2 linked regions of the Arabidopsis thaliana genome follow. The main gene of each other region encodes a partner of the protein of the gene in region 2 in a complex. Each region holds a gene or a part of one and is shown on either strand. Other genes may lie near its edges. A codon is read from its position in the direction of its gene.

The links.
Region 1: the proteins of TGA3 (region 2) and NPR1 are in contact, whole or in part, in a cryo-EM structure (PDB 7TAC), measured with the Arabidopsis thaliana proteins. Residues at the interface, in NP_564156.1 of Arabidopsis thaliana: His195, Ile196, Asp198, Glu263, Pro264, Thr266, Asp267, Gln268, Gln269, Thr351, Thr352, Arg353, Gln354, Arg357; in NP_176610.1 of Arabidopsis thaliana: Asn269 (codon at 625), Lys272 (codon at 616), Ser276 (codon at 604), Asp277 (codon at 601), Asp278 (codon at 598), Glu280 (codon at 592), Leu281 (codon at 589), Leu284 (codon at 580), Leu285 (codon at 577), Glu288 (codon at 568), His290 (codon at 562), Asn307 (codon at 511).

The regions. Positions count from the first base shown.
Region 1 is NC_003070.9:23,853,900-23,857,655, forward strand, and holds the start of NPR1 (regulatory protein (NPR1)), read right to left. Parts: upstream 1,760-3,756; 5' UTR 1,509-1,759; coding exon 948-1,508; intron 869-947; coding exon 133-868; intron 25-132; coding exon 1-24. Other genes in the region: AT1G64290 (F-box protein-like protein), read right to left, coding at 3,495-3,756. UniProt on the Arabidopsis thaliana protein: Salicylic acid (SA)-binding substrate-specific adapter of an E3 ubiquitin-protein ligase complex (CUL3-RBX1-BTB) which mediates the ubiquitination and subsequent proteasomal degradation of target proteins.
Region 2 is NC_003070.9:7,787,252-7,791,007, reverse strand, and holds the start of TGA3 (transcription factor TGA3), read right to left. Parts: upstream 1,876-3,756; 5' UTR 1,358-1,875; coding exon 1,352-1,357; intron 1,020-1,351; coding exon 819-1,019; intron 733-818; coding exon 646-732; intron 511-645; coding exon 451-510; intron 376-450; coding exon 298-375; intron 212-297; coding exon 148-211; intron 48-147; coding exon 1-47.

The sequences.
Region 1 (3,756 bases), about 16 Mb from region 2:
GAAAAAGACGTTGAGCAAGTGCAACTAAACAGTGGACGACACAAAGAATAGTTATCATTAGTTCACTCAGTTTCCTAATAGAGAGGACATAAATTTAATTCAAACATATAAGAAATAAGACTTGATAGATACCTCTATTTTCAAGATCGAGCAGCGTCATCTTCAATTCATCGGCCGCCACTGCAAAAGAGGGAGGAACATCTCTAGGAATTTGTTCTCGTTTGTCTTCTTGCTCTAGTATTTCTACACATAGTCGGCCTTTGAGAGAATGCTTGCATTGCTCCGGGATATTATTACATTCAACCGCCATAGTGGCTTGTTTTGCGATCATGAGTGCGGTTCTACCTTCCAAAGTTGCTTCTGATGCACTTGCACCTTTTTCCAATAGAGATAGTATCAATTGTGGCTCCTTCCGCATCGCAGCAACATGAAGCACCGTATATCCCCTCGGATTCCTATGGTTGACATCGGCAAGATCAAGTTTTAAAAGATCTGTTGCGGTCTTCACATTGCAATATGCAACAGCGAAATGAAGAGCACACGCATCATCTAGATTGGTGTGATCCTCTTTCAAAAGCAACTTGACTAACTCAATATCATCCGAGTCAAGTGCCTTATGTACATTCGAGACATGTTTCTTTACTTTAGGTACCTCCAAACCAAGCTCTTTACGTCTATCAATTATCTCTTTAACAAGCTCTTCCGGCAATGACTTTTCAAGACTAACCATATCTACATTAGACTTGACAATAATCTCTTTACATCTATCCAATAGCTTCATACAAGCTTTACCACATATATTAGCAAGCTTGAGTATAACCAATGTGTCCTCTATAACAACTTTGTCTACAACGTCCAATAAGTGCCTCTGAAATACAAATACAAGTACTCAAGTAAGAACATATTCATGAATGTGTAACCATAGCTTAATGCAGATGGTGTTTTACCTGATAGAGAGTAATTAATTCAGGGATCTTGAAGATGAAAGCCAAATAGAGAACCTCCAACATGAAATCCACCGCCGGCCGGCAAGCCACGTGGCAGCAATTCTCGTCTGCGCATTCAGAAACTCCTTTAGGCGGCGGTCTCACTCTGCTGCTGTAAACATAAGCCAAAACAGTCACAACCGAATCGAAACCGACTTCGTAATCCTTGGCAATCTCCTTAAGCTCGAGCTTCACGGCGGCGGTGTTGTTGGAGTCTTTCTCCTTCTTAGCGGCGGCTAAAGCGCTCTTGAAGAAAGAGCTTCTCGCTGACAAAACGCACCGGTGGAAAGAAACTTCCCGGCCGTCGGAGAGAACAAGCTTAGCGTCGCTGTAGAAATCATCCGGCGAGTCAAAGACGGATTCGAAGCTGTTGGAGAGCAATTGCAGAGCAGATACATCAGGTCCGGTGAGTACTTGTTCGGCGGCCAGATAAACAATAGAGGAGTCGGTGTTATCGGTAGCGACGAAACTAGTGCTGCTGATTTCATAAGAATCGGCGAATCCATCAATGGTGGTGTCCATCAACAGGTTCCGATGAATTGAAATTCACAAATTAAAGAGATCTCTGCTAATCAACGAAGAGACCTTATCAACTGGATTTGGTTAAAGATCGAAGATAACCATTGACGAGCAGAGCCAAGTCAAGTCAACGAGAGTGGTGGTGAGATATGAAGAAGCATCCTCGTCCCACGGTTTACATTTCACCAAAACCGGTAAATTTCCAGGAAAGGAATCTTTGTCAGAGATCTTTTTTAAAAAGATATAACAGGAAGCTAAACCGGTTCGGGTTATAAATGTTAGTATTTATACCGGAGACATTTTGTGTTGCTAATTTTTGTATATGAGAAGTTCAATCCGGTTCGGTAAGCCCCTGAACCAAACTAGATTTGGAGATGATATAAATATATAAAATTTATTTTTCATCCGGTTCGTTATTTTCATATAAATATATAAATATTATTTTTTAAATTTAAGAATTAGATTTACATGTGAAAGTTACATTTCTGTTTATTTTCTTTGAAGTAAAATGATAAAGGGAACGTATATTAAGTTTCATGCTTTATTCACATAAGTTTTGTAATGTATATTATATTTTTCGTTTATTGAAAAAGTAATTTTCAGTGTTCAGCATGTTTACACTATAATTAAATCAAGTCGAATATTTCCTGGAACTATTCTCCTTGTTCTATAGCAAATGAAAACGCTCTTCACAACAAAATCATTATAGATATAGGAATAAATTACATTAAAAACATGAAAGTCATAATGAATATATTTTTTTAATTAGGATTTGATTTAAAAACAATTATTGTATACATATAAAAGACTTCTTTAGTTATTTGCCTTCAACTTCTCGTTCTGAATCATGCGATAAATCAGCTTTTTCAATAACTACGACGTAAAAGCAAATTCATAACACGTCTAAACAAATTTGGCTCATCCTTCACTTGATTGGTGTTTTCCGGACTCGATGTTGCTGGAAACTGAGAAGAAGAAGGAATCTGCATAATCACCTCTTGGTTCCTCACCGGTAGACTCATTTTGTTGGATCGAAAACGATCGAGATCAGAAAATGAAAAGATAGGTTAAAGATGCCTATGAATACAACAACGTAAGATTATGTTGAATAAACAGAGTACTTTATATAGGAGTTATAATAAGGTAAATAAATTATTGCTTTCCGCGTTTTTTACTTTTGTATTTCTTAAATGATAAGTTAAATTAGGATAAGATTTGTATGATTTTAAGTAAATTTACAATAACTCTCTATAACTCAATAGCATCACATATTTAATTAATTTTACTAATTATCTTTTGAACAATTTTATGAAATAGTTTTCTTTTAATTAATTTTTTAAAATGATATATTATAAAATTTAATTGAATCAATCTGATATAATTTTTTTATCTTCTACCATCTATTATAGTTGATAAATATTGTGATAAACTTTAGATAAACACCCAATTGCCAAATATTTAATAAATTTTGTGTACCATGCGTTTTTTTTGGAGAATATATATACGTGGACAGCATACCGTACATATATTGTATAAAAGCTTATAAAACATAGATACGGGTTATATTGGTAAGCTATAAATATATGTAAACAATAGTAAGATATTACGTGTTGTGTCTAAATATGTGTTGCTTTAGATATTATTGTATATCTAATATATTAAAATATCTTTTATTAACTAATATATTATTTAAGAGAGAAAATTGGGACACTATTTTCTATACAGTAACTGTTTTCAACTATAAACAGGAACCCTTGATATAATAAAATAACTAGCCAAAAAATCAGATTAAATATTCATAAAACAATGTTTGGTATTATTACATAAACCTAAGAAACAAAATTCAATATTCCTTTTTACCTTATAAAAAACAATTAAACATCACTAGATATATTTATGCCCCACAATGAGCGAGCCAATTGAGACTTGAGACTTGAGATCCTTGTCAACTACGTTTGCATTTGTCGGCCCATTTTTTTTATTTTTTTTTTAAAGTGTCGGCCCGTTGCTTCTTCCGTTCAGATCAACCCTCTCGTAATCAGAACAAAACGGAAAACAAACGAAAGAACAATCAGATCCCTCTTTTTTTGCATAAACTAAATTCAACTTCTCTGCGTTTATGTTGTAGAGGCAACCACGATCACTACTACGAAACAATACAACGTCGTTGCTTGGAGTCCACGTAATCAAATCTACTCCAATGCTTTTAATATCTTTCACTTTAACCCACGACTTTTCAAAACTGCTCTTT
Region 2 (3,756 bases):
TTGCTCTTCTAGCCAGTGTGTGTATTCCATCTCAAATGCAGCAATACCTGAAAATGGTTATTATTGGGAAAATTACTTCTTTATCTACTGAGGATTAAGAGATAAAGCAATGCTAACATATGCTTATTTAGTGATATAAACACCAACCTGAGTTCATATTCCCAGCTGGTCCTAGATAACTAGTATCTGAAGAATTGCGTACGCATAATCCCTAATACAAACCAGAAGAATCACTGAGTCAGAATGAATCAGATAAAGTTTGATGAACACACAACAAATAAACAAGCTTGAGCTAACCTGCTGCCTAGCTCTTACAAGTTCCTGCTCGAGCTGTGACAACTTCAACCGGCTTTCTTCTAACTGTTGAACATGGGCCTACAAGCACAGACACAACTTTGCATAAGCTTTCCTTTTTATCATTAACACAAGAAAAAATCCCACCAAGGTTACCTTCTTTCTCAAACGACTTTTGCGAGCAGCTTCTCGGTTCTGAGCCAAACGCCGTTTCATCTGTTCATAGAGAAGGAACAACAATTCATGTCATCACGCCGTGTCTCTTCCTCTAAAGATTAAAATGGAGAAGGAGGAGTTTATGAAGTCTTCGAAGCAAAAGGTATAAGTAGCCTTAAAATGCTAAAGCCTTACCTTATCATTGATCCGGTCTTCGTCCTGATCATTATTACTCGACGGTTCTGCTTCAAGAGAGTTATTATACACAGAAGTATAATTCACCTGCAACATAATTAACCATCAATCACCAAACAAACAACACTTATAAATCATTCTAAAGCATGATCCAGGAATAAACAATAACTCACTCTATTGTTATCATCTGCTTCTGGTCTAGCATCAACCTCAAGTGTTGTTGAAGAACTCTGATTGTTATTCTGATTACTAGTAATATTGTTGATATCTGATTTGAAAGGACTCTCCCAACCAGATAACTGTTGAAATGGTTCATACATCCCCATGTCTCTGAATGATACAACTTGAGTAGTAGAAGAAGAAGAGCTCATCATCTGTAAATCAACAATTTACAGACTCAAGCTTATTGAATTCAAGAAACAGATTCTCTAGCTCAGCTTTCAATAGATATATAGATCCAGTCCATATCTCTAAAATTGCATTGCTTACTAACACACACAATAAACAAGTAGTTATAGTTTCAGTTTTAGCAATAAAGGTTGAAACTTTAGAAAACCCAGCTCTCCAAAACAGAGCCTTTTGAAGAAACATAGCCAAATAGAGTAATACCCATGAAACTAGAAAGTTGCAACAACTAAAAACCAAAATTGGAAAATTTAAGGACTTCACAAAGCAAGAAAAGATAACATGAGAAACAAAAACCAACCTCCATTGATAAGCAGAGAAGAAATTCATGAGGAGCTCGAGAGATGAAGAATGAATCTTGGCATTCTAAAAGGAATATTCCGATCAAACGGTGACCACAAGAGAGAAGAGAGAAATGAAGAAAAACTTTGGTCAAAACTTAGAGGTGAAGCGTACCCATCATTGAAAAAAAAAAGCAGAGATATTTATTTTTTTATACATATATTTTGTGTTGTTGCTTTTTTTTTTTTCCTCATGGCTTTGATTAGTCCATGAGCGTAGAATAATAAGCAAGTTGAAGTAAACGAACGATGAAACGACAAAAGCATCACCACCGGGAGAAAAACAAATCGAGAGAGATGATAAAAAAGGTTGAGTCTTTTCCTCTATTCCAAAAGTTGACCTTATCGTGCGCCTCTGTTTCTAAACTACACCTTTTGATGACCTGGATTCTTCATCGTCGGCCGACACGTCAGATGCTTGAGGGGAATATTCCGGTAATTTTTATTTTTTAACATAGAGAATCTGAATCTCATATATATAAGATGTGATTTGTTTATGATTTTGTTAGAAAAAAACATACAATATCATATATCAAAACTTAATAGTCGACTTATGATTCACATTATAAAAAGTTGATATATAATATATATATATATATATAGTTTTTAAATTAAAATAGTTATAGTAATGATTTGATCTGAAAATGGATAATTGATATTTGTACCACGAGATTACTACCGATTGGTTAAATATATTTTTTAGTAACGATTTTAAATATAGCTGATAATTTATTTGTATAAATATTTGAATAACTGTGAATTATTTGTTATTCAGAAATTGAATAAACTTTTCCAAGAAATTAGGTCGCATTTTGTGGGACAAGAGTGGAAGATTAATACTTTTAATCAATTTATTAATTTTTATTCGCTTTATTTGGAGGGTCTCAGTGCTATGCAGTGGCATCTTTTAACTTAAGTACTCCTCCTTAGCTTAGTGAGTAATAATTGGGCCTCTAGTGACCTACCCAACTCTAAGAAAATGATTAATTTTGTTATCTTTTTCTTCTTTTGCCTAATACAATATTGATTCTTTAGTTAGTTTGGTGCCACTTGTCTGATAAAATCTGCGTTTCGACAGAGACAAATACGTAAAATAAGTGGGGCTTTTGGTTTGGCTTTAATAAAGATTTCATATACTATAGTTTTCAATCTTTATAAATATGATTCAAAACGTATTGATCAATGACATGCAAAAGGATAAATACCGAAACTAAAATGAATCATTTTGATTTTCTTAAATCTATTAAGTTTTTGTCTTTTTGACGCAACAGCGCAGAAAGGCCTAAAGAGGAAAAGTTGGGCTTAGAGTAAAGCCCATAAAATTTGTCGAATATTCAACACATGGCAAGTGCACGTGAGAAAAAATCTACAGAAGTCTCTGTGCCGCTTTTTAAGGCTTCTCGCCTTGTACAACTTTTTTTTTTTAAAAATGCGCAAGTTTCTTTTCTGTAACGTCACATATTATTTTCGTTAACCCTAATAATTTTGGTGTTTTCTTTATTTTGTTATATAACATGTATAGATTTTAGACCTAAACTTTACCACTTAAAAGAGTGTCTACAATGATAAAAATAATAGATCATAATAAGTTATTTAACTTTAATAATCTAGATGATAGAATTCAATCTTAAGTCTAAAATTTCGTAATAAACCTTTAAATTTTAATACACGATATATTATAATATATTATTATATATTATAATATATTATTATATATACACCCAAAACCGGCTCAATAGAACTGGAATTTTGGTACAAATTTTAAAAATTAGTCTTTTTCAGTATTAATTTTGTTTATACACAATCATTTACTTACATATATATAAACAATAAAATAATATATATATATATATATATATATATATTTATATAAGATAAAAGGATATATAAAAATTTAGACCCTTTAACAACATAATTACAAAAAAATAAGAGTATTTAGGATAAATTGTTTTTTATTAACTTTTTAGCAAGGAAAAACAATTCAATAATTTATATTCTTCATGCATCATATATTTTATGATCGACTGAACAATATCACCATCAACCACTACATGGTTGCAACCAAAGAGGGAGCAACCATGTAGCATTCGACTACCAACAAACAATATCACCATCAACCACCACTACATGGTTGGAACCAAAGAAGGAGTAACCATGTAGCAAACCAACAGTATCACTATCAATCACTACATGGTTGCAACCAAAAAAATAATAACCATATAACATTCGACTACCAACCAACCAACAATATCACCATTAATCATTACATGGTTGCAACAAAAAAAAAGAACAACCATGTAGTATTTTGCCATCAAATAAAAAGACTTTTCACGAATTGTTAATAAAATATATTATATTTATTTTA